4 linked regions of the Neodiprion lecontei genome follow. The main gene of each other region encodes a partner of the protein of the gene in region 4 in a complex. Links are inferred from orthologs where the notes say so. Each region holds a gene or a part of one and is shown on either strand. Other genes may lie near its edges.

Region 1 (9,448 bases), on a different chromosome or scaffold from region 4:
TCTAAAAATTTTGTCTCGAACGGACAGTTTTAAATTCTATCTATTTTCAGTGCGTTTATTTTTCAACTCAAATATTTATTCATGAATTAAATACACCCGAGTTGATTCGATTTAAACTCAAAACCCGGTAATCATATGACACAAGTAGCATATGTGTGCTATTTACAAAGTACCAAACATTTAACTGCCTTATGGAAATGCAATTTGTAATGTCTTTCTGCACGTATTAACAGGTCATACTGGAACTTAACTGGGCTGCTATTGCGTCACTATATCAACTTTTAGTTATTTTTTTGCCTATGAGATCGTTTTTAGTCATGTTCTTTTGGATTTTGTCACTTTTACTTTTTTACCCTTAGATTTTAGAAAACATTATCAGAGTTTAGAATTAATCTAACTGAACACTGGAACTGAAGAAACTCCTTTCCTAAGATTTTTTTTTATTGCCAGTTTTTGCTCTATTGTTGCGTATGCAAATAACAATTTCATAAGGTAAAAATGAAAATTTACAAAGATTAGAAAATAGAAGGCTTGCAATAGCGAATTTTCAAATTCGCAAAAATCTGTTTTCGAATGTAGACTATATTTTGAGTTATCTGCATTCTAGCCTTCTGAATTTTGAAATTCTGTAAGATAGATTTTCGCGGATTTGAAAATTTTTGATTACAGACTCAGACAAATAATGTAGTTCATAAAATTCTATTTATTTTATCGGAACTATCCTTTTCGATTTTTCTGTAAAGTTTCGATGCAGACACGTTTAATAGGTATACAATTATTTCACCCTTAAATAAATTTTTACAGATGTTTGGCGAAAACTTGGAAGATCGACCACTTGGACTTCCACTTTGACTCACTGGAAATTATGGATCATGTCCCGCAGAGGAGAGCATCCCAAATGAATATTGACTTTGTGACTGTACCCCCGTTTGTACCAGGCAACCAAATACTCCTTTTTTAACCCGCGACATATCCATGTCAACATTGTCCTCGAGTCCATGCCGTTCACTTACACTTGGTAACTCTGGACCATGGATGTATTTTGACACTTCTACAAGATGTTCCTGATTGTTATGATTGTTAGCCACGACTCTTCTCTTGGACATCGTTGATACACCTGGAATTACGAAAGTTTCACTGTCATTAACATCAGATATGCAGTTAATTGTTTCTGGTTCTTCTAAGTCCAAGTTTTATGTTCATGAGCCAAACATTTCCGTTGAACCGCAAACACGTTGAAAACTGTTTGGGGTTGAAAAGTATCGTTGTTTTCAGATTTATTAGTGGATCAGCAAACTAATCGCAAACAATGTATCGTTGATTGAAAGTTCTTTTCTGGGTATATCTACTTCGTCCAAGAATCCCGACATCGTCGCCTTTACGCTGGAACTCAATCGGCTGCCGCTCAACGAACGGAACTGAAGTAACAAACTAACCAATCTTTTTTTTTCGAACAACTCTACGAAATATTTAAGAATCTCCTTGGCGCTACTTTGTAATTGGCTGGGAATAATTCTGGAAAATTATTTCTCAAATGTTTACCGAGTAGATTCATATCTTCTACTCCCCGTCTGTATCAATACGAAATAAAAATTATTTCATTCTTATCACGACAATGATTCGATTTTCGGTACATAACTTGACAAGTTAAAAAAGTTGAGGCAATCAAAAGAAGAAACGATTCTTTCACGGTGTATATTTTACTGCGAATAGGTTTAAAAAACATGGGCAGACAGTGTAGAGAATATTTTGAACTGTGTAATAAATGTAGAAATATTTGTAAATGAAATTAGTTAGCTATTGTACGGAAATGTTTTCGGCAACTGTTGGAATGCGATACACTGAACAATTACGTTTTTTATGTATAGATAATATACTCTCACACTTGACACTTTTCACATCACCAATCACGTGCAGTCGCTAAAGTGATGTATTCAAAATTCCATAGTCCGAAGACACATTTTCCGATAATACAAGGTCCTCTAGTTTAACTTCTTCGTTAGAATGTGTTATATGTATTAAATTGTCGCATTTACAACTGTGAAATGATTTTCTGCCTTTTTTCACAATAATTCGACAGATCCGTTCCTATTTCTATCCTTATTTCAATTGACTATTCACACTATTCACAATGCTTGAAATCCATAAAAATTGAGTGTACAATTAAAACGTTTCCCCGTGCAATGAAAAATAAAGAAAACATACTACTTAATTGAATGAATTAAGGGTAAATTTTCCGGCGATGTAATAAATTCAATGAATTATTTCAAAGTAGAATTTTTTGTGACGAATGTACAGAAAGTCAAATAAACTCCGCTTTAGCATTGTAACTGATAAGACAGAAAATTATGTTAAATATCAACGTTGATGTGGATCACAAAATGTAATAGAAATTGCCTATCTACAGGCTGGTTGATTCTATTGGGTGGATAAAGCAGACGACTCGAAGGTGTTAGCAAAAGCATCGAGTTGAATCGCTTCATTCGATATATCGCATGTGCGCAGTTGAGTTGCGATAGATCGAATCAGTCAGACGGAAGCGTTGATATACGTCTTCTGCGGCCACTTTCAGACGCTTCAGTTTGCTTTAGTAAGAGGTTTCCAAGATGGCAAAGAAACGGGAGGCGGATAAAACGCCGCATAACGATGATCCAGGTAAAAACGACGATGAGAATATCAACGGGGATAACGAGCCAAACTTCAGCGATCCCGAGGGATTCGTCGACGATGTAACCGACGAAGGTATTTCTACTCTTACATTTCACATGCGCGTCACTCGTGTCATCCCTATCACCCCTCGGGGCTCGGTCACGGCATGGCATAGGTAGCATGGCGTGGCACGAAAGTTATCACATATGCACACCGTCTCCTAAATCTAACCATCCCGTCTCGGGATCTCGACAATCTTCCGTACAGTCTCAATAGCTTTTTCAATTTATTCGCCGGTTTTAGCATTTTAACCTCCGAACTTTGGCGTGATATTTTTCCTTTATACGTGACACGGTTCAACTCTGTACTTGAGCGTCAATTAACCTTCCAAATTTTGTATTGGCACCCATTCAAGATACCATTTTGCATTCATAACAGTCTCTGAATATTACTCGACACCAATCTCCGATTCGCCTTTTAATTCTAAATCGGGTCTGCTATATTTCTATTAATCTTTTATTCCTTTTCCTAGAACTACTTGGCGAGCTCATTAGGCAGAAACCGTCTGAGACCGATGGGGTTGAAGCTGTCATTGTCGTCGACGGTGTTCCGCAAGTTGGACCCGAGCGTTTAGAAAAACTCCAAATGGTGATCAGCAAGCTGTTTGAAAAGTTTGGAGACATTGTCAACCAGTGGTATCCCAAGAACGAAGATGGCTTGACCAAAGGGTAAAGATCATAAGACCATAAATTTTAATTCAACAATGCTAACCTAGCAGAAAAACAGAAACAACTTGTCACTTGTTTTGTAATTATTAGTACGAAGCTTCAATTTTTCACTACTTTGGTTGTTTTGTTAATTAACACTGGTATCACAGGTACATATTCTTGGAATACAAAAGTCCGGTGAACGCATTAGCTGCTGTCAAGTCGACAAACAATTACAAGCTCGACAAGATGCACACATTTAAGGTGAATTTGTTCACGGATTTCAAAAAGTTTGAGGATACACCGGATGAGTGGGAACCGCCAAAGCCCCAGCCGTATACATCGAGTGGTGACCTTCACTACTATCTCCTTGATCCTGATGCGTACGACCAATTCTGCGTTCTCTCTGGCAATGGAATGGCGGTTTGTGTTCAGATATGGCAAAATTCTGCACCTGAACCGACGCTGCTGGAAGACCGACCGGTAACAGTTTTTCACAGTTTGACTAGATTAATGTGCAAGTCGAAATAAACATGGTGTATTCCCCTTTTCTAAACCTTTTCAGCGATGGACAGATACATACGTCAAGTGGTCTCCATTGGGCACGTACATAGCTACTTTCCACAAGCCAGGAGTCGCGTTGTGGGGTGGTCCGAAGTTCGAGCAGACGGCAAAGTTTGGTCAACGCGGAGTTGAGTGCGTTGACTTTTCACCTTGCGAACGTTATCTTGTCTCATATTCACCCAGGGCTGAGAGCAGCGTTGATCAGAAGCGGCTTGTTGTCTGGGATATTCTCTCCGGTCAAGAAAAACGGGATTTTAATCCTGACGGGTCCTCGGTGTGGCCCATTTTCCGCTGGTCACACGACGACAAATATCTCGCTCGCATGGGCGAAGATGTACTCAGCATCTACGAAACTCCTGTAAGTTTTTTTTCTACTATTTTTTTTTTTTTTTTTTATCCTTTTGCATACCAATGTTAGATTTTTTTTCATCAGATGGTCAATTTTGTTTCGTGCGGATGTTCAACTATGGTCTATTCGCTTTTAAGCATTTGCATTTATTCGATTTTTTAGTCATTTCGACTACTCAACAAAAAGAGCATCAAGATACCAGGAATCAGAGACTTCAGCTGGTCGCCCACTGATAATGTTCTAGCCTACTGGGTGCCGGAAGATAAAGATGTCCCAGCCAGAGTCACACTTTTGGAAATTCCCAGGTACAGCACAGAGTTCATAGTCAGAATTGAAATGCTGCTTCCATTTGTTGGTTAACAACCAAAGAACTTATGTTTTGTTCCTATACCGATTCGCGGAGTTCATGAGTGTTTCTCTTTTTCCCGTTACAGCCGCAACGAAATTCGTAACAAAAATCTATTCAATGTCGCCGACTGTAAAATTCACTGGCAAAAATGTGGTGACTACCTCTGTGTCAAGGTGGATCGTTTTGCGAAGAGGAAAGAAAAAACTGAACAAAAATACACTGTAAGTATCGCAAGTAGTAAAAGCTCGTTCAACTCCTCCCAGTTGCCTAAATTATAGTATAGCATCGGTATTTAATTTCTCCATTTGATTTATTTTCAGGGAATGTCGTACAACTTTGAGATATTCCACATGCGAGAGAAGCAGATACCGGTTGATAGCGTTGAAATGAAGGAACCGATTCACGCATTCGCCTGGGAACCAGTGGGTAGCAAATTCGCTATCATTCACGGTGAAATACCCAGCGTAAACGTCAGCTTCTATGGAGTACGCCCTGGACTGCATCCTGATCTTCTCAGTAAGCTTTTCAATCCAGTTTCAATATTTCAGAAAAGTAATTATATCCAACTAAATAAGACGAAAAAGTGTGTTGTACATCTCTGAAGATATGTATATCAGTTCATAGAACAAACATGTGTTCTTCAGTCTTGTAATGACTTTTACTGATGTCTTAGAATTAAAAGGCAAAGTTTTTAATTTTTTCTAACTCTTGTTTAGAGAAACTCGAGAAGAAGGCGTGCAATCACCTGTTCTGGTCTCCTGCTGGCCAGTTCATTGTACTTGCTGGTCTTACCACCATGGCTGGTGCCTTGGAGTTTATTGATACCAACGATTTTACTATAATGAACACCACTGATCACTACCAGACCTCTGACGTTGAGTGGGATCCTACCGGACGGTATTTAGCTTCGTTTATTCTTTATCATTCTTTTTATTTATTCTCTCGTTATGTATTTAATGCGGGCTTCGTTTTCGTTACATGTTATTTAGTAGAATTCTTATTATTATTATTATTCGTATCACTGTTAAATCAAAGATCTTTTACTGATTGTGAAGTTTACTTCAATCTCTTTACTTTGGCAAAATTTAGTTTTAAAGTAAGCTTAGAAATGAAGCATAGAACTAAAAGGACGTGACTAAATGACCCCAATCAAAAATGAAATACGGCTGCTTTTAGATACGTTGTGACTGGAGTGTCGAGCTGGAAGACAAGCGTCGACAACGGATATTGGATTTGGTCGTTCCAAGGTCGTATTTTGAAGAGAGTTAATTTGACTGCGTTCAATCAGCTTCTATGGCGTCCAAGGCCAGCGACGCTTTTGACCGCCAAGCAAATCAAGGAAATTCAAAAAAATCTGAAGAAGTATTCGGCACAATTCGAAAGCAAAGATCGCATGAGACTAACTCGCGCCTCGAAGGTAATATTTTCCTATTCCGATACGGAATATTTGTGATCAAATAGTGACTTTACATTTATTCGTATAGTTCTTTTTTTCTATTGTGACATTTAAAAACTACCCATATCCTTGAAATGATTTCTACCTTTCTTTTTCCAGGAATTGATCGAAAAGCGTTGTACACTGATGAAAGAATTCGAAGAATATCGATCAAAACGTATCGAAGAATGGAACAGCCAAAAGAAGCGTCGCCTTGAACTACGCAACAGTATGTATTACCGTAGTCAAAAGTAAAGATGGAAAATAATTTATATTGATCTGCTAGTATTTTCCTATATTGAATGACGTATTAATTTCGTGTTTTTCCTTCTAGATATCGACACGGATGAGCTGGACTCAGATACGAAGAATGTTGAGGAGGAATCGATCGAGTTTTTCATCAAAGAAGAGACATTCGTCATCGACTAAGAAAGTATCCTAAGAATTGAAATAATTTGGTCTTGCCAGACTTGGAAACCTCTGTGTAAGACCGTTAAATTGTTGGATTTCATGGTGTATTGTACCTACTAACTCTGGAACGGAGGTGAACCACGCTGCAAGTGGCATCATTTCCATTATAAAGCATCATTGATGGTCTTTAACTATTATAGCAATTGCGTAGAATTTGTATTTTATTATTTCTGTATCATCGTGTCATTTTTCCTCGATGATTTTACACCACGTAAAGAACGCGGCAAACGTAGTACAATCAAATTCTATCACATACCTTATAGAATAGTCTGTAATACTTGTAACTGCTACAATGATTGTCACACTGTCCATTTTTTTTAAGTCACACAGACTATTTTTATTTATCTAATAATACCCTTTCGGAAAGCCATTTGAAATCGAACATTGTTTTATGAATACTTTTCTATAGAGTATCGTCGAAGACGAAGTAAGGGAATCATCACGACGAGGAATCTGTGACTGCGTCAAAACTGAAACCCCATTCCTTTCCTCACAGCTCACACTTGCGAATCAGCGGAATTGCCTTCGGAAGGTAGGTTTAGTTTATTTATTTATAGTAGGTTAATTATATTTAAAAAAGACTGGTTTTTGTGCAGATGCTCTTGCCGGCAGTTTGGTTGTTGAAAAAATACGCGTCATGCATTTAATCTGGGGTTTTTATATTTCATCAATTGTTGGTTTTCCACTGTGTATAGAATTCTGCAGATGATTTTTCAAAACAGAAATCATATATTTGTTCTTTTTCTTCTTGGCATAATATCCATTCTGTTCAAATTATTATCAACTTTACTATTATAACAAGCATCGGTTGCTATTATATGGAACGGGAATCTTCGAAAAGCAATAACATACAGAAAGAGTCATAAAGACGAAAATGTGTAAAGTTATGTTCTTACTATATATCTACATATATGCTAACGAATGTATTAATTATTATGCATAATGTATAGTTTGGAGGTACATAAGTTGAGAAAAAGGTCTTGATTTTAAAGTTTATGTATTATATATTATGTTATAGCTCAATGATCCTTAGATCTCTATGTATTATACAATCATAAGAATAATGATGAAAATAAAAAAGGAAAATAATAGCCTTCTAGTGTATTTGCTTAGTCCAAAGGGAAGCGCCTAATTATAGGCAACCAAACTTACATGTACGCGACACGGCCATCAGGCGTAAGGCGTGCCTTCGATCAGGCTCCTCGGCTCAGATGTTCTCCTAATACCAGGAGTAATTTTTCGCTGCTATTTCTCCGATCTAATTGAACCAAGTGGGAGCGCCTAATCATAGGCAACCAGAACGGTACGTATGTGACACGGGCTTTCAAGCATAAGGCGCGCCTTCGATCAAGCTCCTCGGCTCAGATGTTCTCCTGATACCAGGAGTAATTTTTGGCTGCAATTTCTCCGAGTTGCTTAGTCCAAGTGGTAGCGCCTAATCATTGGCAACCACGTTTATACGTATGCGACACGGGCTTTCAGGAATAAGGCGTGCCTTTGATCAAGCTCCTCGGCTGAGATGTTCTCCTAATACCAGGAGTAATTTTTCGCTGCAATTTCTCCGAGTTGCTTAGTCCAAGTGGTAGCGCCTAATCATAGGCAACCACGCTTATACGTATGCGACACGGGCTTTCAGGAATAAGGCGTGCCTTTGATCAAGCTCCTCGGCTCAGATGTTCTCCTAATACCAGGAGTAATTTTTCGCTGCAATTTCTCCGTGTTGCTCAGTTCAAGTGGAAGCGCCTAATCATAGGCAACCACGCTTATACGTATGCGACACGGGCTTTCAGGAATAAGGCGTGCCTTTGATCGAGCTCCTCGGCTCAGATGTTCTCCTAATACCAGGAGTGATTTTTCGCTGCAATTTCTCCGAGTTGCTTAGTCCAAGTGGAAATTAATTTTTATGCATAAGAAATGAGAGAGTATATTTTGAGCTAAAATTTATTTCATTTTTACTATACATATATTATATGTATAATAGGGTGTTTCAAAATAAAAAAATTTACGATTTTCCAACGAGCCACACCCGAAATAGTTTAGGTAGAAACAAAAATTCTGGCGAAAGATGAGCATTGTCGGTTGATTTTTAATCCTTTTTTCCTTTTTATCGAATTTATGATGGACAATTGTTAGTAATTTTTTTTCGTGTTAAACACTTCTTCATCTGAGCTATCCATAATGAGTAATCAAAAAGTAGTGGCAAATATGCATGATTATTTATTGTGTGCCCATGACGACTGAGACAAATCGTGGTCATCAGATAATTGATAAATATCTCTTTTTCGTAGAAACAGTATCGGCGGGTGGTCACGCGACTATAGTGGGCGCATCTCACGGTAACTGCGCCGCGGTCCGCCGCGGTGCAGTGGGTTTCAGCCTTAACTTTTGAAATGTCCTACCATTTCCGAACACCTGCAACCATCCTATTTACCTATATTACTAGATTAGCTATTATATGAAAAGAGAAGAATTATTCACTTCGAAATGGGATTCTATTCGACGCGCGCTCGATGTATTCCATAACATTAGTATTCCTAATTATTTCAACAACATTTCATTTGCTCTCTCGATCTTGAATTTTCGTAGGCATATAACCAAAACGCTGTTCTAGCTAGTCGAGAGTGAAGTATCTACGTTGGGTAGAGAAGCAAAATTGTTTTTCGAAAAGTATTCGGATGGAAAAAAATTCAGAGTAACTGTAATACATCACGGATGCGCTAATTTTGAACGAGATGAAATGGATGCTTCGTATATGAGATAGTATTTAACGCTGCGTAATGATTTAAAGACCTAAAAAGGTGATAGGAAGAGAAAGAACGAAGCTTCTTAACACTTCGAGTGTATTTTAACACACATTTGAAAGATACGAGCAAAATTTTTCATCATCCAACTGTCGCAGAACGGCAGCGTTATCGGCTGACCCG
Region 2 (7,941 bases), about 26 Mb from region 4:
ATGATAAGTAATTATAAACCGGCAGGAATCTTTCAAGAATCAGAGTGTACGACAATCCTAATAAGCAAATCCCATAGCATTTCGAGTGTTATGGTATGAAATAAAAAAAGTGATTCAATTAGCACTTAAAATTATTCCAAAATTCGAAATGTTGCTGCAAAATTCAGAGAATTTTGCATCCATTTTGTTGGTAAATGTACAGATTGTCTATTCAGTTTGGTGGCAGCTTTGGCAATGGTAATTTAAAATTCTCAATATCAGTTGAAAATATTAAGCTTGACTTTTGATACACTCAGAAAGAAACAAACCCAATATTCTTAGGTGCAAATTTATATTCTATGTAATGTTAGGGTGTGACTGAACCGAATAGAAAAACTGTTCATAGTTTCAACATCAACTGATCGCTACAGCATTTAATCACCACGATTCATATTTGGATACAAACAACAATTCAATCTAGTCTCCAAGCAGTCAAACCCTGTTATGATCCTGACACAATATATTTCCTAAACGATCAAGTAACCAATGCTCTACCTGTCGCAATACAAGTACACATTTTTGATAAACTGGTTGTAAATTCCTAAGGGGATGTGAAAACTCGAGTTTGTAGATCAGGTGTCACATTCTTGACAGTACCTTGTCTTATGTTCAGTTTGTCTTCAGCAGCTCTCAATTTTTCTTCGAAACGATCTAAGTCGCCTACCGTCATTAGGTGTGTAACGTTTCCAATCTTACGGCCTTTAATTACAGCGTCTGGGTGTAAGATTATAATTACCATGTCTATTTGAGGTCGAAGTATCAACTCTTTCACTTCACCTTTGGAGAGCATGTGATGGAGAAAATCATTCCAGGACACGTACACAATCTGCTAGACAAGTTATTCAAGTTATGTGCTTCAGGTTTTACATATTTAGCATTTTCATATACATTACATATCTCGTATAATGACAAGGTTCAGACTGGTAACATTAACATAATAAAACATTCTGAACAAAATAGCTGTTTTCCAACTTCAGATTGACTTTGAAGGACATGAGTTTTCAAAATATGTATTTTTTCCTTTACTATGCTTCACGAAATTCCAGACAAATGTAAAATCGTAAATTTATATTTTTGTCATAAGAGTGCATTGTTACATTAATGCTACAAACCTTGTCATTGTATAAACAGGGTCGTTCGTGACTATTGTCCCATAGGCTGCCAAGCAACAATGTATTCCTTGTTAAAATCGATAACTAAAAATTGGGTTGCAATGCTAAGAAATTCTTCGGTTTCGAATAAAAGCCATTCGATCAACCAACTTGGTAGCATCAGAATTGATTACCACACACAGGGATGATAAACCGGGATACTACGCAGCGTAGTGATGAAATAACGATCCACCAGTCCCGTTCTGGGTCATTAAAAGCTTCCAGATTGGTCAATTTCAAACAGCTGTAATTCGCGTATAGAAAATTTTTTATAGAAATGCAATAGACGTTTCAGTTGCAGATTGCTACGAGAAATACGTTGGTAGTTTATAAGACTGTACTCCAGGACCACCCTGTAGTTTCGGCAAGAATTGAACCATGGGATCTGCATATACACTCACCTCCCGTTGACTATTATTCGGTGTTAGCATGGTCACCAAGCTGACAATCAGCCAGAAAAATGTAAGCCACATTAAATACTTGGGAACAAGACCAGAAACTTTTTCATTGTCATTTTTATTCGGATTATCTCCTGAGCTTTGAGATGAGGGCTCTCCAGCACGGCCGCCACTCGCCGCCTTATTGCTATTGTTCGTACCTGTGGTACAGAAGCATCTGGCATTATAAAAGCAGCGTAGTTTTGAATCACTATCGAATCCGCTGCGTCGTAACACGGTATAAATGGCGCATACCTCCTTATGCATTCGCATACGCATTTGACCCTAAAAAATAATTACAGTCATTTCATCGTTCTCCCACATCCTCAAATATTGCATCTTAAAAGAATTGCTGAATACTGAATTTGATCTATTTATTTCTCATAACTATCGATATGAGACTAGGAAAATACAAGTCGGGCATATTATATGATTTTCTTACCTGAAACGACAGGCATTGTGAGATTCGAAGGGCGCGATTCAGGACTAGTCTGAAATTAGGTCTACTCAGTACCGACTCGTATTTTCCCGCAACAGTTGACGCCAACTTAAAAATGTCATTCACCGAAGGTAAATATCGTTTCGGACATTTAATAACGCGCTGCATATTCTCCAATTTAGTTTTACAATCACTGTGACCACGAGTATGCTATGCAATGCATGAGAATAGGTTAGGGCCCGGATTGTAATCGAACACGGGCATACATATATTTATGTTACATAAAGGACAAAACTACAACAGACACTTGATCACGCGCGACGAATCTTTTAATATTTCACAAATGAGAAAGTGATTGATAATCCGCTTATACGACTCCTTACGTAAATCTCAAGATAAACTTTATTTTAAGAAACATTCTCATATTTGTGGCTATGCTGAAGCCCGAATAATCCGCAGACGACAAACCATTTGAAGGATATCAATCTGGGGTGTATTCCGAAATCACGGTCTTAAATACAGGTCTTGCAACGAAGGTAGTGGGGGTGGCTCATTTCACGGGCGCTGATTTATCTCACTTTGCGGTCGCCAGGCCGGCGTTGTGATCGAGGGATGGATAATCAACGCGTGCGCAATGCAGCGCCAACCTAATAATTATATTATTATTGTTGTTATTACAAGTAATGAATTGTTATGAATGAAAGTAGTTAATATAAATATTAGTGTGATATAATTATTATGAATGATATATGTATGGAGACTAGAGGCAAAGAGTATCATTACAGTATGACGCACGCGCTGATTTTAGGTTATATGCTTCATTTCAAATATAATTTCCATGGCACATTTTCATCCCTACCCCACGTACATCCCTAGATAACAGCGCCGCGACATGGTTATTTCGAACACTTAAAACACGGACAACAAGAGAACCACGCCGCTCTGTAAAAAATTGGCTTCGTTGCAAGACCTGTATGTAAGACCGTGCCCAGGCCGCAGTAGTCGCAGTCAACAACGTCACAAATTTCATGACGTCACTGACTGGCGGCAGTAAGCTGTCGCGCGATTTCAGAATGCAGTTGCCAGTACTTGCAGTACTGCGGGTATATTTCGGAATACACCCATAGGCCTCCTTACCTCTACCCTCCATAAAGTCAACGTATTAGATTGTTCACAGCTTCGAATTAAGGGCACAAGCTGCACGAAGTTTTGCGACGGTTTCAGCATTCATCAAGAATAGTTGAGCAATATGAGGACTTTTATAACGAAAGAGTTTCCATCTACCCAATGAGGTCGGCCATCTTCTACAATATCTAGCCAATGCTGGGTCATTTCGTTGACGGTTTGTGGCTCTACTCATCTCTTTCTGCCGTTCGGCCAGGGCGCGTGTGAGACGTTCAGCTGGTGCACTAGTCGATTTTGTGGCAATTTTGGAGCGCTGATGCGATATTAGTTTAGATAAAATGGTAAGTTTCTGTTCTTAAAATAAATCTGTTCTATCATTATGCCAGATCATACCTCCCCTACGCGTGCACACACATAAACACGTGTGAAAATTTGCCTTCCCGTGCCTAACCTCAAGTTGACACTGCAAGATATCGATTCAAGTACCTATATATCTTCGGTCAACGTTAGAGGAGGCTTCTTGTGAAATGATGTGTGTTTCATATCAGACGTGGTTATATTGAATGTGTCTTTTCGAATCTTCGGATTCCATTGTTTGTGATTGCATTGTGTTTTAGAAACCTCTCATGCTTCATGGGCATGAACGTGCCATTACCAAGATCAAGTACAACAGGGAGGGTGACCTCTTGTTCTCTGCAAGTAAGGACAAGAAGCCTAATGTCTGGTACTCCCTCAATGGAGAACGCCTTGGAACTTTCAACGGTCATAATGGTTCTGTATGGTGCATCGACGTTAATTGGGATACTACTAGATTCTTATCTGGAAGTGGTGACAATACTTTATGTGTATGGGATTGTCAGACTGGTTAGTTACCTCTTATCGTTCTATTCCAACAGACTCGTACCATATCTATATGATGAAGGTGATGTGAAACTGGTCATTGCTGGATTTGTAGTATTCTAACCAGTGAAAGTATTTGAATTTTATCCTAGAGGAGCTGCGATAATTTTGTCGATCTCTGTCTGTTGGAAAACTAATACACTTGCAAATTTAAGATGTTACTGAACCTAGCAGGTGATAACTGCGAGCATCATGAACAAATCAATAATATATAATCAAATATCCTTTATAATCTGTTGAATTGATACAATGATTTGAGACATGAATGTGAAATTTTTCCAATTTCTTTGTCTGACTTAGTTTTACCTACTAATTCCGGCAACATGAAGTCGAGCAAATTGGTTTAATTAATCTAAAACATGTAAACTTATGCTATTTTGAGATAGGTTGAATTTCACGCAACAACGATTCTCTGTATTTTTCTCGATTCAGGAAAAGTTGTTGGTCAATTGGAAACAAATAGTTCGGTGAGGACATGTAGCTTTAGTTATTCCGGGAATCTTGCTGTCTATTCAACCGATAAAGCTTTGGGATACCAATGTGAAATGTTCATTATCGATGCACGAGACGTCGTTTCCAAATCATCACAAGAGAATGCCATACGACGAATACCTATCAACGGCCCCCGAATCTCTGCTATTCTTTGGGGTGCTCTTGATGAAACCATCATCACTGGGCATGAAGATGGTGAGATTAATCTCTGGGATATGAGGGTGAGTTGTGATTCACATGACACAAATATTAATCTTGAATTAAATTACAATTCCTCAGTTTACTTTATTTGTAATATATTCACAGACTGGGAAAAAACTTAATTCTATTAAAAGTCACAAGAATCAGATCAACGATATGCAAACCAATAAGGATGGGACCATGTTTGTGACAGCATGTAAGGATCATACGGCCAAATTGTTTGATAGCGAATCTCTGGTGTGCTTGAAAACTTATAAAACCGAGAGACCGGTCAATTCCGCAACAATATCCCCAATTTTGGATCATGTGAGTACGCAATTTTATATAATGTCTTGAGCAGGTGCAGCAGCATTTTAATACTTTCCTGAATATTGTACAAGATTAAACATTTTTTATAATACCCGAAAAGTAACGATATTACCATTCTGACACTTGAGAGAAGGTCGGAGCACTCCCTTTTTTTCTGCTAACTTTAGGGGAATAGTTTACGATTGTTGACAAGTGTGTCGACAACATAGGTGACATTAAATAAGGTGGTGCAAGCCACTTACAAATGAGATTGTGATAATACCTCAATTCCTTCTGTATCGATGCAGTACTTTTGCTTCAGTTGCGAGCATACTTAGCAAAGTGTTGTCCCGATCGTAGCTACTTAGAAATTGCATACCTTATGTCTAAGTAGCACTAACTGGTGATCTTATTTTTTTGGCCCTACTAAAACTTGACACTGACTACAGAACATTCTGCCTTTTAGTACACTTCTATGTGTGGACTAAGGTATGCACAGTATTCCTATGTTATATTACAAAAAAATGCAAAAATGTACATATTATGTACACCCAGTGAAGTCGATTTGGAATCCCTCTAATTTTAGCAGCTCAAATATAAGGTTGGCAGCTCTAGTGCCCAACTTACGCCTATTAAATAACATGCGGTATCTGTTGGATGAACCGTAGCAATTAGTTAGAAGCTGCCAGAGCCAACCCTATTTCTGACCCGCTTAAACCAGGAGGTTCAGAATCGACTTCACTAGTGTGTAAGATTCAAATTTTAAATGTCGTTCAATTGAATATACTCCTGATTTGTCGTTTGACTTGTCAGCGATTTTGGGAATGAAATAAAATTTTTATTAAAATTAAACGATTGGAAATTTGATGCCATGCAGCTTGGACAATTTTCTACTCAAAATGCAACTCTTTGGTTACAAACTGAAAAAAAAATCGTTCACGTAATATCCAAATTTAGGAGGCGTGGTTAATTTTTTTATTATATACTACTCACTAAACATCCATTACAAATGACTTGATCAAGTTATAACAATTCGTATTTAGTGAGTTGGCAGAAAAAGCAAACTCCCTGTAAATATGCAAATTTGTAGAAAAATGACTGACTGATTCTTTTTATGTGAAATTGTCGGCAAGACATGTAAAATTACATCCGTACGTAGTGTGGTTGTGTAAAATGCGAATGTAACAGATCGTACCTATATCCATTTTCAGGTGGTACTGGGTGGTGGCCAGGATGCCATGGACGTGACCACGACATCGGCTCGTCATGGAAAATTTGATTCACGATTTTTCCATTTGGTATTTGAGGAAGAATTCGCTCGACTCAAAGGCCATTTTGGCCCTATCAATTCTTTAGCCTTTCATCCTAATGGACGGAGTTATTCTACAGGCGGAGAAGATGGATATATTCGTATCAATACATTTGACCAATCTTACTTCGATTTTCATTTTGAATATTAATCAATAATTGTACTACCATTGTACTAATATATATCGAATCTAAAAATTTTACACAGCACGTGCTCTTCATTTATTCCGCGTAATGTTTCCTCAATATTTCGAATCATTTTTCGGAAAGATAAAAACCATGAAGGAGGATGTGAGACGTTTCCAAGGAAATGCCTGTATCAAGTTATCGGTGTCAGATATGTTGCTTAATTTTTCTGTACGTACCAAATTGTCATATTGCATGAATTTTTTTTTTCGTTTGCTTGCATCTGATACACTGACAGATTAAAATTCGTTAATTTTGCATGTCACATATCTGTATACCTATGTGAAATTTCAAGGAATAAGGATACAATGGTAAAGTGGAAAATGAAATTGGCAACAATTGCAACATAAAATACGGTTTTAATATCTATGTTAGTATGATTTATTATTGAAAGTAAAAATCGTCTCGTAGAAAATATGGCTGATGATTATTGTATAAAAAATATTGGACAGAAGGTAACTTCGGAATTTATCACTATTCTCAAATAAGGATACATACCTATGAGAAGTAGAAACCATCATATATACCAAGTATAACTATATGCCAAAAATAAAAAGATGAAGAAAATATAGCGCAAGAATCAAATATGAATTTTCATATCACTGGTTTGGTCTGAAGTCCTAATTTATTTTGCTCTCAATAACATTTCAATATCGTTCCTGATTTGAATGCCGACAATGGATTCCCTTCACTTATTTATCATAGCAAACTAAAAACTTGGCAATATTTTTCAAGGTTGAGTGTCCCATGATAATAGCACTTCTATGTATACGTAGATGTATTTGAAATTTAATTTATTGTAGCCCAGTCTTTTGGTTGAAGCTTGGGCCTAAACTTGACTGATACTCGGTAGCGTAATCAGTGAGAAAAACATTTGCATCAGGATTGGACTGATTTACTCAGTTTATACCTATGCTCAAAGTATAAAAAACAAAAACGAGTAGACTTGACAAACACAATACAACTTATTATTACGCATAATTCATTATCAAATCGGTAGGCCTTATTTGGAAGTTTGGCGACCTCAAATGGTCTGTGTGGTATGCAAATATCAAACTACTTGTTTGAGGTAGGGTAGCTGGCAAGTAACATTGAAAGTATTTCAGCTTATAGTTTGTACCGGAAATTAGTTTTGACCAAATATTGTACTTGAACTTGGGCCACATCATATACAATATATTCGTTGTACAAAAGAGAAGTTGACTTTGAAAGCTTAGCTGGTACTGGCTTTCCGTATGGCACCTGAACTCCATCACTTGTAATGTGAAAATCGTCTGGGTCTGGTTGAGTCTGACCCAGACCCAATGTAGAATGTTTACCTTTTGGTAATTTTTCAACGTAATCCGCTGCGTGTCGCTCATAGGTATTGCCCAGA
Region 3 (6,893 bases), on a different chromosome or scaffold from region 4:
AAAAATCAAGACTTGGAAGTTCTAAATTTAACCATGTGTGAAGGAATTGATATAAAATGTCTCCAGGATGTTCTAAAATTGTCAAGGTGAGGTACTTGCTTCCCAATTTATACTTGTTATTTTTTATTTGAAAGCTGTAATCTCAGTCTTATTTTCATTATTGTTACCTGTATAACATTTCTTGTTCATTTTAGATTGAATGCTCTTAACGTTGCTTGGTGTGGCTTGGATTTAGAATGTATGACATTACTTTGTCGACAATTACCAAGCACCATTACCCGGCTGAATATTGCCGGATGTCGGAAAACCATGACAGATGATAGTAAGTATATAAATATATAAATATAAATATACATAATAATATAAATATGTATAATAATAGGCTATTAAATACTATGACCCTCGACGAAGTATTTAAAAGTTTGTTATTTATTTATTGACTTATTTTTGCAGATGTCAAAGAGTTGGTAAAATGCTGCCCGCGTATCATCGAACTCGATATGAGTGATTGTACAATGCTTACAATCAATGCCACCCAAAGTCTATTAAGCCTCACAAAGTTAGAACACTTAGCCCTAAGTCGCTGCTACAGTATTCCTCCTACCACTTATTTAAGACTAGCTCACATGCCCTGCCTAATGTACCTGGACGTCTTTGGATTAATGGCCGAACCTACTTTAGATACACTGCAAGCAAGTTGCGGAAATACTGAAATAAACAAGTTCCTATACAGTTCAGTCGCCAGACCGACAGTTGGTGTTAGGCGAACGAGTATTTGGGGTCTTAGAGTTAGAGATTAGGAAGCTAGAAGAATTGAAAAAAATCTCATTTAGTGATTTACGAAAAACCAGAGAATTCGACTAGTAGTAGGTATAGTTGATTACAAATCGCGTTTTGTCGCAGTAACTGAGAATAAATCGGACTTAATCTCTCGTAAATACGAGTAAACGATTTCTTGAAAACTGAAGTAATAATAATAAAGTAAAAAGTTCATTAAGGTATGTATTTCGAAAGTAGTGCCAGAAAGCGGTAATAGAATTGATTTTCATTTTTGTAAATAAATTCTCATACAAGACGATTAACACAATAACATAATAATAATAATAATAATAATAATAATAATGACAATAATGTTGTTAATGATCAGTCAATTATCTGCCAAATGTGCTTACTTGTTGAATATCAATTTTTTTTTTGTATAAAATCGCGAAATTCAGCACTGTAAAAAACCTGTAATACTTTGAAAGGTAATGATTATTTTTATAAATGATATTAGGAGAATTTTTCTTTCTTATTTTTATGTCACACAGTCCACACATTGTAATCTGCATAACGTGAATTAATGAATTTTACAATGCTTCTCCCGACATGAGTGATGTGAAGCGAGTTTGATTTCTTGTGATTTTTTTTTTTGGAAACCCATGATACTAGATGTAAGAATGTATGTATACTATTTTTAAGATGGATAGAAAGGAAAGTCCTTTGATACTAAAGATAATTCGGTATTTTCCTTTCTTGCATCAATATAGTACCGAATTTTCCTGGAAATCCGGGCTTACTGGATGATTATATTATTGACGACTATGTGAATTAATTATTATTATGTATATTCTATAAAAATGAATCATTATGGTTAATCTGAGTTCAATTCTCTTTTGCTTAGTTTTCAGCAATACCCAACTCACTTTAAAGTTATTTTGTTGCAAGTGTGTAACTATCAATAATCAGAGGAGTTATATTTTGGACAATTTATTAAAGAATCAAAGATACAACTGCAGAGATTGCAAAACAATACCTTGGTTACTGAAACGTGGAATCCGTTCATTCAATTTATATATATATATATAAACATTGAAATATTTGATTATAATTTATTACACAAGATACATATCAATAGGGTCTTAACGAATGATCAATTATTGCGTCAGAAGGATTTAATCTTGTAAAACGGAGTCACATGCGCAATTGACATCTAATTACTTTGTGTGGGGGGTTTGGACCAGTCCACATTTAAAATAAGGTGATCGTAACCATGTCCATGTAATTGAACAATAGCTTTAGCAGCATCAGCTCGGAATTTATAATGAACATAAGCAAATCCTTTACACGAATTAGTTAGCTTTTCCTTAGCAAGGTACAGTTTTTGAATTGGTCCAAAAGGCTTAACAAGCTCTTCCAAATCGGCGTCGGAAGTGCTTTCAGAGAGGTTGGAAATTCGGATCGCTGTTGTATCGTCACGCTTCGTCATCTGCATCGAATCTCCACGTCTATTACCGCCATCTCGCATATTGGGTGGTACGTATCTACTACCCTGAGGTTTATTTAGATCAGACATTGCTCCAGGTGCTCCTGGCACTCCAGCTGGTTTCTTATCATCTGGAACTTTACCTGGAGTAAAACATTTCAAGATTATCAGTAAATTAGAAAGATGGACTGAGAAAAGCTTAATTCTCTTTTGGTACCGAACACAATTACTGGTTGAAGGTAAAAATATTTTAACAATTGAATGGTCGGTTCATCTGAGGAATAATAAAATGTTCAAACTTTAAGGACGCAGTTCTAACATTTGGAAAAATGTTTCCTTTGAGACAAAAACTTCCTGTTACAGTATAAAATCTCTCAGTATTTCGTCTTACTTTTTCGAAATTTTACTAATACCTATAAATCTATTCTAATCGCAGAACTTGTATAGCGAGGGCTCCTGAATATTATAAAGTTTTTGGATGAGTGAATGCAAGAACTTCAAATAATGGGTAAATATCAGTATCAAGTTACCTCCAGCGAGTATAGTGTCTTTGTAAGGACACTTTGAAGTCCAGTGATCACCATTGCAGTTACGACACTTGACGACACCCTTGTCCCCGATACTCTTCAATTTGTCAAGTGAGTCTTCTTCGACCTTGTTCTCTTCTTCCTTATTTGAAATGAACTGCATGAAGACATCTTCTGCTCCGACAGTTGTGGCTGGATTTGGTCCAGGTCTGTCGTCCGAGGAGTCTCCAAACTTTGCCCAGTTTTTCCGCACGGCTATAGTCTTTGATACTATACGACGTTCCACCTTATATGTACGGACAACTTTTACTTTCTTATCGTCTTCGTTGTATTTGTATTCTGTAAGGATTTTGAATCCATTTTCATAGACCTCTGTCGGTGGTGGCAGTGCTCCTCCTTCTTCCTCAACTTCATCTGCCCAACTGGATTTAACTTCTTCTGTTACCGGCATGTCTGCAAGTTTGAAAAACACCTCTAATCTAGTAGATGGGTAAACAATAGTGTTGGGCCAAGTATATCAATCCTAACGTTTTTTCTACCTTTTACTAGTTGTTTCTCTTTAACGTTTCACATGTCTTTTAATTGTAACTTATCAAACTTTTCAGCCTCTAGAAGAATTCCAATTCAAGCGGAAGACTTTCGATTTTAAATTACTATCAATTTCCCTGTACAGGAACCTTCGATTGTTAAGAAACATTTGTTTACACCTGATTGATTAAGGAAGTGTAGATAGCGAACGGAATAATAGCGAGCAATTTACAAAGTAAACGATCTTCATAAATTTATAAATGTATATTTAGGATTTCAAAGAATGGTGGAGATCCAGAATATCTCTGCGTTTGAAAGGATAGTACGACTCAGGATGGAGCATTGAACTATTTGAGGTTAGGGTATCGCAACGTCTCGAGTATTGATACCCATCATTCCAATCAATTCATGAAAGTAGCGTCGATTAAATTTAGAAACGCGACACAATGATTTGGCAACTGGAAGACTCTTTAACCTGGTAAAATGATCGTAACATTGTAGAAGATACTGAAAATTGCATTTGAGTAGATCAACCTCACGTGTCATAAATTTTGGAATCTCAGCCGGCGTTGAGCACCTTAATGAAAAATGATATGGAATAGCAGATATTACTATTATATTACAAACTTACCTGTTCTCCGTGAGTAACGGTATCGGTGTAACGAAACGTAATACTTGGAAGATTTTAAAAGAACTTGACAACGCTTCGTCGTACATATGTCCGTCGGATAGACGATCAGCCAAAATGGAAGAAATGCCAGTGGCGTTGGGGGCGATCGCTGCTCCCTCTGTGCGTTACATCGAAAACTTTAGCGACGAATGTAGATGAATGGCTATAAGTTGTCTGTGGATCACGGTGAATGCAGCCAGCATCATGTCGAAATCGTATCTCTCTGATGTTCTGCAATAAGTTCTCAACTCTACCGTTGGAACATCTCAGAGGGCGCAAGCGCACGACGATTTTCGGTTGTCACACCAAAGTCCACTAGGGGGACTGTCTTTACATTCTTGAGTCACCGGCGAGGGAGACGAAGTGAAAAAAATGGCGATGTCTAGCGTTGTCGCTGTATCGTGAGCATAATGGTTTTCGGCACAACATTACAGTTGAAAATACGATAGAGTTTCATTATTAAGTGTGAATTATTCGTTACACGACGAGTCTCGAGTACCCACGAAGAAGAAATGGATCAGGCTCCTGCAGGTAGAGAAAAAAAATCACAATCCCAAGAATCAACGAAGCGCGGTATTATTTCCACACTACGTATCACGTATCAATTAATTTTTCGGCTTAATTTTTCGCCCATCAATACAATATTACTCTCCACCTTTACAACTTGACGAGTAAATACAAATCACTGCAGATTTCTCTCACCCTGTGCTACACAAACATATCGTTGTGTACAGGAATTGTATTAGGTTATGTGGCTCCTCTCACGTCCACCTTAAAATTGCCGAAATCGGCACCCCGATGAGAATTTGGAATTTTGATTTATTACTAAGTATGACTATCTACGAATCTTTTACAACACTCGGCGAAATATCGGTGATTATTTTTGTTTTCCACGTTCACATTCATTGTCCGTTCGCTGCTTTCTCTCCTACAATCACCCTTCAAGATATACAATCTGTTAATCAAACCTTAGGTATGGTTATGATTTTAACAGGGTAAATATTTGTATTCCATATTCATTTCACAACACGTAATCGACATCTAAATTGCGATCAAACAAGTCTGGAGAATCTTTTAAGTTATATCATAAACGATTTGTCTCAAGAGAAATATCTGATACTCTTCAATACCGCAATAACATTATATTGATATCCTTATCTTGATATCATATCTTGTTCTGCGATGGTTACATATTGTTTCCATTTATATTTTAAAGTTAATAAATAACAGGATAGCTATCTAAATGTTGGATTATTTTTTATATCAGAACTGTAACTAGGATATTGTACTTATATGTCATAATGATTTCTTGAATATTTTAGAAAATAATCTGTCTAGAAAATAATACCGGGTAAGATGATGATCCTTTTTTTCCATGAAATATGATGTAAGCTTACATTGTTGTTGGATGCCGATTGTTCTAACAAAGTTCTGTTTTAAATGATTTAATAGACACGGACTTGCGCAACATCATAGACAAGCTGGCTCAATTTGTCGCACGTAACGGACCAGAGTTTGAGCAGATGACGAAAAACAAGCAAAAGGATAACCCGAAGTTTGGTTTCCTGTTTGGCGGAGAGCACTTTAACTACTATCAATACAAAGTGACAACGGAGCAAGCCAGTAAGTGGGAACAAATCCCCTTAACAACGTACAAAAAAAGGTCTTCGTTCAATGAGCTAGAAGCAAACCCAAAAAAAAAAAAAACAAAAAAACGACTATGAGAAAACGTATGAAATCGTCAAATGAACAAAACATCACCACCGTGCAATGAGATGAAAAATGTCATTTGTGCAAATCAGGACATCGTTCAAGATTTTGGGAATCGTTATTTATTATAAGACTTGAAAAAAACTAGAAATGTGAAAGGGGCTTTCTTAAAATACAAATAAGAACAAGATGTAGCTTTAGGATTGTTATCTGATCCAAGATTAGATCGGCAAGGATACAAATGTTTAAAATACCAACTACTTTTATGTTTATGAAGAGTACTACACACTGCCGCAGTAAAATCTGTTTTACATACATGCTCCTGTACTCAACTGTTTGGTGTAGCACGATGAAAGAAAGAAAACAACACATTCTGTGTTCAGTGGCGCTTTAAATTTAACAGTAGACTTAATGCATTCTTACATGATGCCAGAAAAATTAATATGTGCCATTCGAAGATATTCATCCAAAAAACAACCGAATTAAAAATGACAAAAAAATAACAAAAAAAAAGTAAAAAACATGGACCATTAGTTTATTTTTTCAATATCATGAAGAAATGAAAACAAATTGCAATAATCCACCGTCATTCGTTTACAGTTTTAAAGCAAAAAGGAATAAATCCAATGCAAAATGCCGACCCACGTTTAAACGTTTCGCAGCAGCAGCAAACAGCCGCGGCCGTCGCTTCGCCACAAAATAACGTCAGTCTTGCCTCGAGCCTGAGCGCTCAAAACAACGGTTTAAGCCAAGTGGTCGGGAACCCAGGGCCCGTTATACCAGGGATAACTGGGGTACCCGGAGTATCCGGAGTTCCAGGACCAATCGGAGGGCCTGGAAATGTGGGACCACCTGTTGGGGCCATTCCTGGACCAATAAGGAACGTGAATTCGCCGATCGGAGGAGTTAATTCTGGTGTCAATATTGCCGGTCCTTCAGGTTGGTTGCGAAATGAACTTGCGCAGCTTCAGTCACAGCAAGCTACACTCCGAGAACAAGTTAGGCAATCTGAGCAAAACCTCGCTGCCCAACACGCCGCTTTAATGGCTCAACAACAAGGGAGAGTCGAGGAGGCTGTCAGACAAGCTCAAGAAGCATCGCTGCAAAATAATGCTCAGCATACAAACACTGACCTTTCTGCATTTGATTCTGTACTACAACCCATTATCGAGAGCTGCACTAAGGACAGCATCAGTGCCGGAAAGGCTTGGAT
Region 4 (6,812 bases):
CTCTGAGTCTTCAGAGACTGTTTCTGCGATTACCATATCTGGAGTGCTCAGAAGCATGTCTAACATCTCCGATATGCGCTCAAGAAGCTTTGACCAGTATTCAGGTTTCATCGCATCGGAAACTTTTGGGTTATAATCAAATATTGAAGAGATTATAGAAAACTTTATCTTGACGGCGACGGCTGGCCCGAGATTATGAGTTTCAGCAATCGACTGCAGCTCATGAAGTAGTTCGATCTGCTCTCTTCTGTCTGTTCGCTTTTTACCGCGTGCAGCTATCACCTCAGTTAGTTTCTTCAACACGGCCTGCACATTTATCTCAGCATCCTTGGCGAACATTTTAGGCTTTTCTGACGGTATTGCCACACCTCCTTTAACAGTCTCCCATTCACCCTCGCCGTCGTCTTCATCACGTCTCTTCTTTCTCTCCTTGTCTTTGCGCTCTTTGCGTTGTTCTTTCTTCTTTGCCTTATCTTCGTCATCATCTTTGTCTGTTGTTTTCTTTATGAATCTTTCGCGAATGTTTGTGTACTGGCCATCGTCATCGCTTGATGTGCTATCACTGTCAGAATCACTTCCCCAATCTTCGTCGCTGTCGCTGGCTTCCTCACCGTCGATCGTTGGACCTTTCTACAAACGGAAAAAAGTCATGAAAACAATAAAAGACATTGAAGTAGTTGTGAGGCAAAAAATCGACCCTTTTTTCAATTTTATTTAAGGGATCATCAGTGTGAAATTTTCAAAAAATCTTTTTTTTTTTGCACTATCGGATAGTATACACTATTATAAACATTCTCTCAAATTTTTTAACGAAATTCGAATTATTTCAGTCACTACAGCATTTCTTAGAGAAAGGGAATATGACATCTGCTGCGTTTGTCTCCCCATTCAACTGTTATTCCTTTTGTCTTGTTCCTACCTGCGCGTGTACGTTCCTGCAGGAAATGAACAATTTAAGGAAGCAGAAGGAATATTGTATGGACCTGGTATCGCCGATTGATCGTAATTAAACGATATATCTACAATTTTCTAACTTCAATCTTTAAACGCGTTTTTCTCGGAATGGTGTCCACTCTCAAAGGAAGAGTTTTCAAGCTATCCATTTGCAATTTTGACAGAACATTCTTTACGTCATTCTCTATCGTGCTATGGAAGTTTTTTTTTTTTTAAATCTTTCAATTTTTTTTTACGAAAAACCGTAAAAAAAAAACTGAATTCGATACGTTTTGTTCAAACCGCCGCCATTTTGTCAAATTAAAAAAAAAAAAAGCGTCCATAGCACGATAGCGGCTTTCATACAGATTAATAATCTTTTTGCAATTTTTGTTTCAGATCAGGATTAAGACCGCAATCCTGGACACCATGCAGGACCTTTTTTTTGAATCGGACTTTTCAATAATTTAAAACAATATTAAACAATAAATAAATCAACTTACAAAAAATCATTTTATATTCTTCATCACTGCCTTGATGTGCAAAAAAAAATCAAACCGATTAGTTTATCCTAACCATAAAAAAAAATCGCGAAAATCAGTGATATTTCGGAGGATCACACTGTAATGTCCCTTAAAGATCGTCGTACATTGCGTATTAATCAAATTGTTATATTCCAAAGATCTCTTTCAAAACGCCAGAATAGAAAATACTGGAATTCTAAACATAAGATTAGATATGGCTGTTTTATTTCAAATTACTTCTAAATAAGTAGAACTCTAGTAAATTTTTCGATTTCACAATACATTGTTACATTTTAATCAGAAGATTATTTTCTACACTGTTACTAAGCCAGATAATTTTTTTTAACTAGTTAATTCAATATTGCCATTAGTTGATGATGAATACTACTAGTGCAATATTATGTAACTAAATATTTAATGATGCCAGCATGATAACAAAAAAAAAAAAGTACTTCAGTAACTTTGCAGACAATAGTTTTCTAAATGAAATTATTGGTTCTAGAATGAAATCAAACGAATCTACGAGATTTTTAAACATTTCAATGCCTTTTAGAAAGCATGGATACTTATGCTTTTGTTCATAATTGAAGTATATTCCATTTTTAAAGAAATCTTCGTAGCTTACAAATATAATGATTTGATAGACTCAATGAACGACTATTTCATAATAAAATTATTGTAACGTATTGATTTTCGACCAACCAACGGTCTTAATTAATGCGGTAACGTGACCACGATCAAACCCTACAAATATAATGAAAATTTGATAAATGCTAAATGAACGACTAATTCATAACAAAATTGATAAAAAGTATCAATTTTGGCCAACTAACGAGCTCAATTAATACAATAATGTAACCACGTTCAAACCTTGAATTTCGAAACATCAGGAGCATTTGCTTCTGCTGAACTAGCTTTCTTGAAGGCGTTGGCACGATCTTCTTCTCCATCCGACTCCTCAGCCTCTTCAGCTATGTGATCATGTTAAATAATTAATAATATGTAACATTAACTTGCTTTAGTTGAGGTAACTAAATTATATCTACATATTTCTCTGCGTTAACACTGTAATATTCAACTCTGATAATCGAAACTGCACCTTTTTCTTCCTCATCTTCATCTTCCTGGTCAGGATTCTCTTTGAACTTGGTAATATCCTCCTCAAAGTCCTTGATATATTTCCGTATCTTCTGGCGTAAAGAGGTGAGTGATTTGGAATTATTTTTAGACATATTCTTACGATCTTCCCAAACATCAGTAATAAAATTCTCCAACTCGACTAAACATCGTAAGTAAAAATGTGGCGTCTGGCCATTTTCCTCCTTGGCAATAACTGGCAGTGCCTTTGCATAAGCTCGCGTCAACTGTTCGAAACCTAGAACCCACAACACCAGCGTTAATTTATTCCATACAATCCCGAACCATAAGGTCGCGTAATACTAATACTTACTTGTGAGCATGCTGCTCATATCCTTGATTTTTTTGTAATTTCTAATCAGTTTAATCAGATTTGTGATTTCCTCATAACGCTTCTCTTTTGTTGAGCGCACAACACGCTTTGTTTCTTCCTCATCATCACTGAACTGTAAAGAAAATTTATTCGTTTACAAAGGTGAAATGCGTGATAACCAAAACCAGACAATCGAAGTCTGTTTGTGTCACATAACGGTAGCGAACTTCAACGTGATTTAAGGTTAGATTAAGGCAAGGTTGAAAAATACCGTATAAACTGCCCCTGTGGGCCTCTGAATCTGTTCCTCCTCAGACGAGCTGTCAGACTCGGAGTCCGATCCGGTGGCGAAAAATCGGCTCATGATTAGACTGAATCTGTGAAATTAAACTGTACAAATGTATCACTGCTGATTTGCACGGCTTACAAATGAGTTGTCAAACACATGGCACAGTAAAATAGACTGCTTTGGCCTGATTTTAAGTCCTAGTCACAATTGGGGGCCGTAATATTTAGGAGAAATTTGATCATCCTACAGAGGAAGTCTTTTCTTTATTATACAGACCGTAATAACTCGTTAATCAATTTACCTGTGATCGCCTGCAAAGAAATCCCCTTACGGGTAGCCGTTCAATGTAAAGAGGCCGATCGCAACCACGATCTTACATACAGGTCTGGCAACGAAGCTCAATTTTCTACAGAGCGGCGTGCAGCGGCGTGGTTCTCTTTTTGTCCGTGATTTTTAGTGTTTGAAATAGCCATGTCGCAGCGCTGCTATCTCGGGATGTACGTGGGGTAGGGATGGTACGGATGAAAATGTGCCAATAATAATATTATTATTAGGATGGCGATGCATTGCGCACGCGTTGATTATCCATCTCTCGATCACAACGCCGACCTGGCGGCCACAAAGTGAGATAAATAACCGGCCGTGAAATCAACCACCCCCACTACCTTCGTTGCCAGACCTGTATGTAAGACCGTGATTGCAACGAAATAAGCTTGGCGTCGACAATTGTAACCTGTAATAAAATAGATATACATAGACGCGGATACGTCATTGAAATTTCGGATCATGTCAAATTGTCAGACAGTGTACACCACCTAGCGGATTTTTTAACAAGCTGTTGCAATGGCGATTGTTACGCGGTTTTTCCACTGGGTTTTTCCCAGTGGGTCTTTCGCCAACATACATTGTTACATTTACATGTATGAAATACATAGAATAAGGATTACTAAAAACTATGTAAATACTGTACACCGACTCGACGATGGTGAAGTCTCTGCAACCAAGTACATACATACCTAAAGTGTGCTCGCGACATATGTAGAGATGATGACATGAGTGAATTTATTCTCAAAGAATTTTCGACTCAGTATCTCGGGTCCTAAAATGTTGCATTGATTATTCACTCGTTACTAATAAGTCGAATTTTTTTATTGTGATATATTCGTATAAGATACGATTCATTTAAAAATACAGTACGGTATACAAGTTTTGTTTCGCATTTTTTTGTACATAAATATTGACAATGGAGCATATAGTTTAATAATAATAATAATATAATGATGATACAGCACAATAAAATACTTTGTTTTTATATTAAATAATATGATATAGCTATAACAAAAATATTGTGCTTGTTTTGTATTATCAACAATCGTAATAACAATGTGAATAGAACAAAGGTACTAAGTATGTAATTTATCTACTGCGGGAATGTGCATAAAACACCGTGTTTTCATTCTTCAACATAGATTATAATAATTAATAACATAATAATAATTAATAACATAATAATAATAATATGAATTAATATTTCAATTAACTATGATGAACAGACTTCATACTCTGTGCATTACATATACATGCATACCTATATGATATACTTGTGGAAAAGGCACATCGTATTTCAGGGAATATGTTCAAGAGCTTTTCTTGATAGCTGTTGATTCCATTTTCATGCTTTCTTTTTTCAATCAGTCAGTTCCGTTCATCGTAGGCTGCGGAGGTGCTTGGTCTTTCGATTTTCTACGAACCACTTGCCTCTGGTGCTCATATTCAAAGTCTTCTTCACTCAATTTCAGTCTATGAATCTGTATTGGAGTGAAATATGGATATCATATACTAACAATAAGTGTTCTTTCCATTCCGAATGAATTTTTACTTGTAAGAAACTCATTTCATTACCCTATTTGTGAGTGTCTCTAAAGGTGACACTGCCACTTCAGGACAATCGATTAAAATCTATGTAGAGATGTAGTGCTCTTTTATTGCTAATTTCTTGCCAAAATTTTGACTTTCTTGCATCAGTCGTTTTAGCAGAATGGATGGCGATACTAGGTTGAAAAAAATTGGCATTAACATGAGTAAAAAATGAAAATGAAAATAAAATAAAAATGGTATGTTTAGCTACTATTTAGTTGCTTGAATTTCACGAAGAAATACATGTGAAATTATCAACTCCCAGCTTGGATAACTACCCCTGGTGTAGTGAAAATATGAAATTACACAATATTCTTTATGTGAGCAATATCGCGATCGGTATTTACTTTTAGAATTAGTTGCTTTGTCAAAATCGATGGCATGAGTTCGTAACTCACCTGACGTTGGCCGAAAGCCACCCCTAGTATGATAAACATACAAAATTACGCGAAATATCTTTCGTTCCGTATTTTTATCACACTAGTAATGGTTTTCGGCCAAATGCACGCAAGTAACAAAATCACGCAGTAGTTTTACAGAGTAACTAATTCTAGAAGTAAATACTGATCGCGTAATTGCTGAAACGGATCTGTATACTGGCCAAGCTGCAGCCTAAAGGTTAAGCAACTAATTAGTAATTAAATATACCATTTTTATTTTATTTTTATCTTCATTTTTTATTTGTGACGGTGCTAGCTTTTTTCAACCTAACATCGCCATTGAATTTGTCAAAATGGCTAGAGTGACAAAGTCGGAATTTTGGTAACAAAAAAGCACTGAGTCTCTACAAAGATTTTAATCGATAGTGCTCAAGTGGCCATGCCTTTAATGACATAATCTGCGGAATAGTGTCAAAATGTTACCTGATTCACGAGCATCTCCTCCTCCATGAGCTGGTGAGGAGGATTCCTCAATTGTTGAAGAGTTTCATACATGGTTGGACAGTGTTTGGTGAGAGTCGAGCGGCCCAGACAACCCTTGAGCAAAACTAGTCCAACTTTGAAGATAATCTTTACTCCTTCGCAAAGAAACATGTCCCAAACACGCAAAATGCTCTCCCAGGGTAATGTTCGCGTATAAACGCATAGAAACCATTCAGTCATGTACAAAATTGGCTCCATCTTCTGTTTCTTCTGTAATAACAAGCGACAAGCATCCATGAGAATTTCGCAGTTTACAACCAGAAAAACGGAAAAACCAGGATTATATCTAATGTGTGTAACAAATATCTAACTGACCAAATGTTTGTAAGCAACTGGAGACACCCTCTTTAGAAGTGCAAACAAAATGTCTCCGTCACGCTGCAGTGTTTCCATGCCTTGACTGTAGTAACCCACTAAATACTTGTCGCAGACCGCGACGAGACACCAAAAGGCCTGTACAGCGGGCATATGCATGAGTAAAAATGCTGCGATGGGTGCCTGAGCTTGACAGTAGCCGACTTTGCTGTTGAGAATGGAGTAGGCCTTGAGAACTTGGAACAATTCTTGTTGGCCAGGTGCATTCTCAACAAACATTTCATGCTGAGGAAACTGCCGGTGAAGATCCTTCCGTATATCTTCAATGTACTTTGGATCTCCAGGTCTGGCAATCAGCTCTGCATATAAGTGCGGGTTTTCATCCATCAGCAGTTTTCCTCCGCAGAGGTAGAGCCATGCACGTGGCCTCACAGATGGTGGTATTCCCTTCCGACATCTCT

What was found.
Region 1: eukaryotic translation initiation factor 3 subunit C (region 4) and eukaryotic translation initiation factor 3 subunit B share a complex: the UniProt entries of both Caenorhabditis elegans proteins name them as parts of the eukaryotic translation initiation factor 3 (eIF-3) complex. The link is inferred for Neodiprion lecontei from reciprocal best matches to the Caenorhabditis elegans genes eif-3.C and eif-3.B.
Region 2: eukaryotic translation initiation factor 3 subunit C (region 4) and eukaryotic translation initiation factor 3 subunit I share a complex: the UniProt entries of both Caenorhabditis elegans proteins name them as parts of the eukaryotic translation initiation factor 3 (eIF-3) complex. The link is inferred for Neodiprion lecontei from reciprocal best matches to the Caenorhabditis elegans genes eif-3.C and eif-3.I.
Region 3: eukaryotic translation initiation factor 3 subunit C (region 4) and eukaryotic translation initiation factor 3 subunit G share a complex: the UniProt entries of both Caenorhabditis elegans proteins name them as parts of the eukaryotic translation initiation factor 3 (eIF-3) complex. The link is inferred for Neodiprion lecontei from reciprocal best matches to the Caenorhabditis elegans genes eif-3.C and eif-3.G.

What each region holds. Positions count from the first base shown.
Region 1 is NC_060266.1:1,378,626-1,388,073, reverse strand, and holds eukaryotic translation initiation factor 3 subunit B, read left to right. Parts: upstream 1-2,547; 5' UTR 2,548-2,606; coding exon 2,607-2,742; intron 2,743-3,181; coding exon 3,182-3,377; intron 3,378-3,526; coding exon 3,527-3,839; intron 3,840-3,921; coding exon 3,922-4,278; intron 4,279-4,431; coding exon 4,432-4,574; intron 4,575-4,703; coding exon 4,704-4,839; intron 4,840-4,938; coding exon 4,939-5,134; intron 5,135-5,334; coding exon 5,335-5,515; intron 5,516-5,794; coding exon 5,795-6,035; intron 6,036-6,173; coding exon 6,174-6,282; intron 6,283-6,387; coding exon 6,388-6,482; exon of another isoform or gene 6,483-6,677; intron 6,678-6,933; 3' UTR 6,934-7,615; downstream 7,616-9,448. UniProt on the Caenorhabditis elegans protein: RNA-binding component of the eukaryotic translation initiation factor 3 (eIF-3) complex, which is involved in protein synthesis of a specialized repertoire of mRNAs and, together with other initiation factors, stimulates binding of mRNA and methionyl-tRNAi to the 40S ribosome.
Region 2 is NC_060261.1:376,129-384,069, reverse strand, and holds eukaryotic translation initiation factor 3 subunit I, read left to right. Parts: upstream 1-3,134; 5' UTR 3,135-3,529; coding exon 3,530-3,532; intron 3,533-3,808; coding exon 3,809-4,055; intron 4,056-4,523; coding exon 4,524-4,804; intron 4,805-4,889; coding exon 4,890-5,090; intron 5,091-6,283; coding exon 6,284-6,532; 3' UTR 6,533-6,583; downstream 6,584-7,941. Other genes in the region: poly [ADP-ribose] polymerase, read right to left, coding at 637-868, 1,592-1,912, 2,070-2,276, 7,677-7,941. UniProt on the Caenorhabditis elegans protein: Component of the eukaryotic translation initiation factor 3 (eIF-3) complex, which is involved in protein synthesis of a specialized repertoire of mRNAs and, together with other initiation factors, stimulates binding of mRNA and methionyl-tRNAi to the 40S ribosome.
Region 3 is NC_060263.1:36,423,057-36,429,949, forward strand, and holds eukaryotic translation initiation factor 3 subunit G, read right to left. Parts: upstream 4,089-6,893; 5' UTR 3,932-4,088; intron 3,226-3,931; 5' UTR 3,224-3,225; coding exon 2,776-3,223; intron 2,389-2,775; coding exon 1,973-2,388; 3' UTR 1,734-1,972; downstream 1-1,733. Other genes in the region: S-phase kinase-associated protein 2, read left to right, coding at 1-86, 195-322, 454-800; calcium homeostasis endoplasmic reticulum protein, read left to right, coding at 4,483-4,501, 5,423-5,593, 6,281-6,893. UniProt on the Caenorhabditis elegans protein: RNA-binding component of the eukaryotic translation initiation factor 3 (eIF-3) complex, which is involved in protein synthesis of a specialized repertoire of mRNAs and, together with other initiation factors, stimulates binding of mRNA and methionyl-tRNAi to the 40S ribosome.
Region 4 is NC_060261.1:25,908,123-25,914,934, forward strand, and holds the start of eukaryotic translation initiation factor 3 subunit C, read right to left. Parts: upstream 3,664-6,812; 5' UTR 3,498-3,663; intron 3,298-3,497; exon of another isoform or gene 3,285-3,297; 5' UTR 3,272-3,284; coding exon 3,179-3,271; intron 3,041-3,178; coding exon 2,908-3,040; intron 2,833-2,907; coding exon 2,557-2,832; intron 2,429-2,556; coding exon 2,328-2,428; intron 631-2,327; coding exon 1-630. Other genes in the region: TBC1 domain family member whacked, read right to left, coding at 4,888-5,004, 5,977-6,246, 6,352-6,812. UniProt on the Caenorhabditis elegans protein: Component of the eukaryotic translation initiation factor 3 (eIF-3) complex, which is involved in protein synthesis of a specialized repertoire of mRNAs and, together with other initiation factors, stimulates binding of mRNA and methionyl-tRNAi to the 40S ribosome.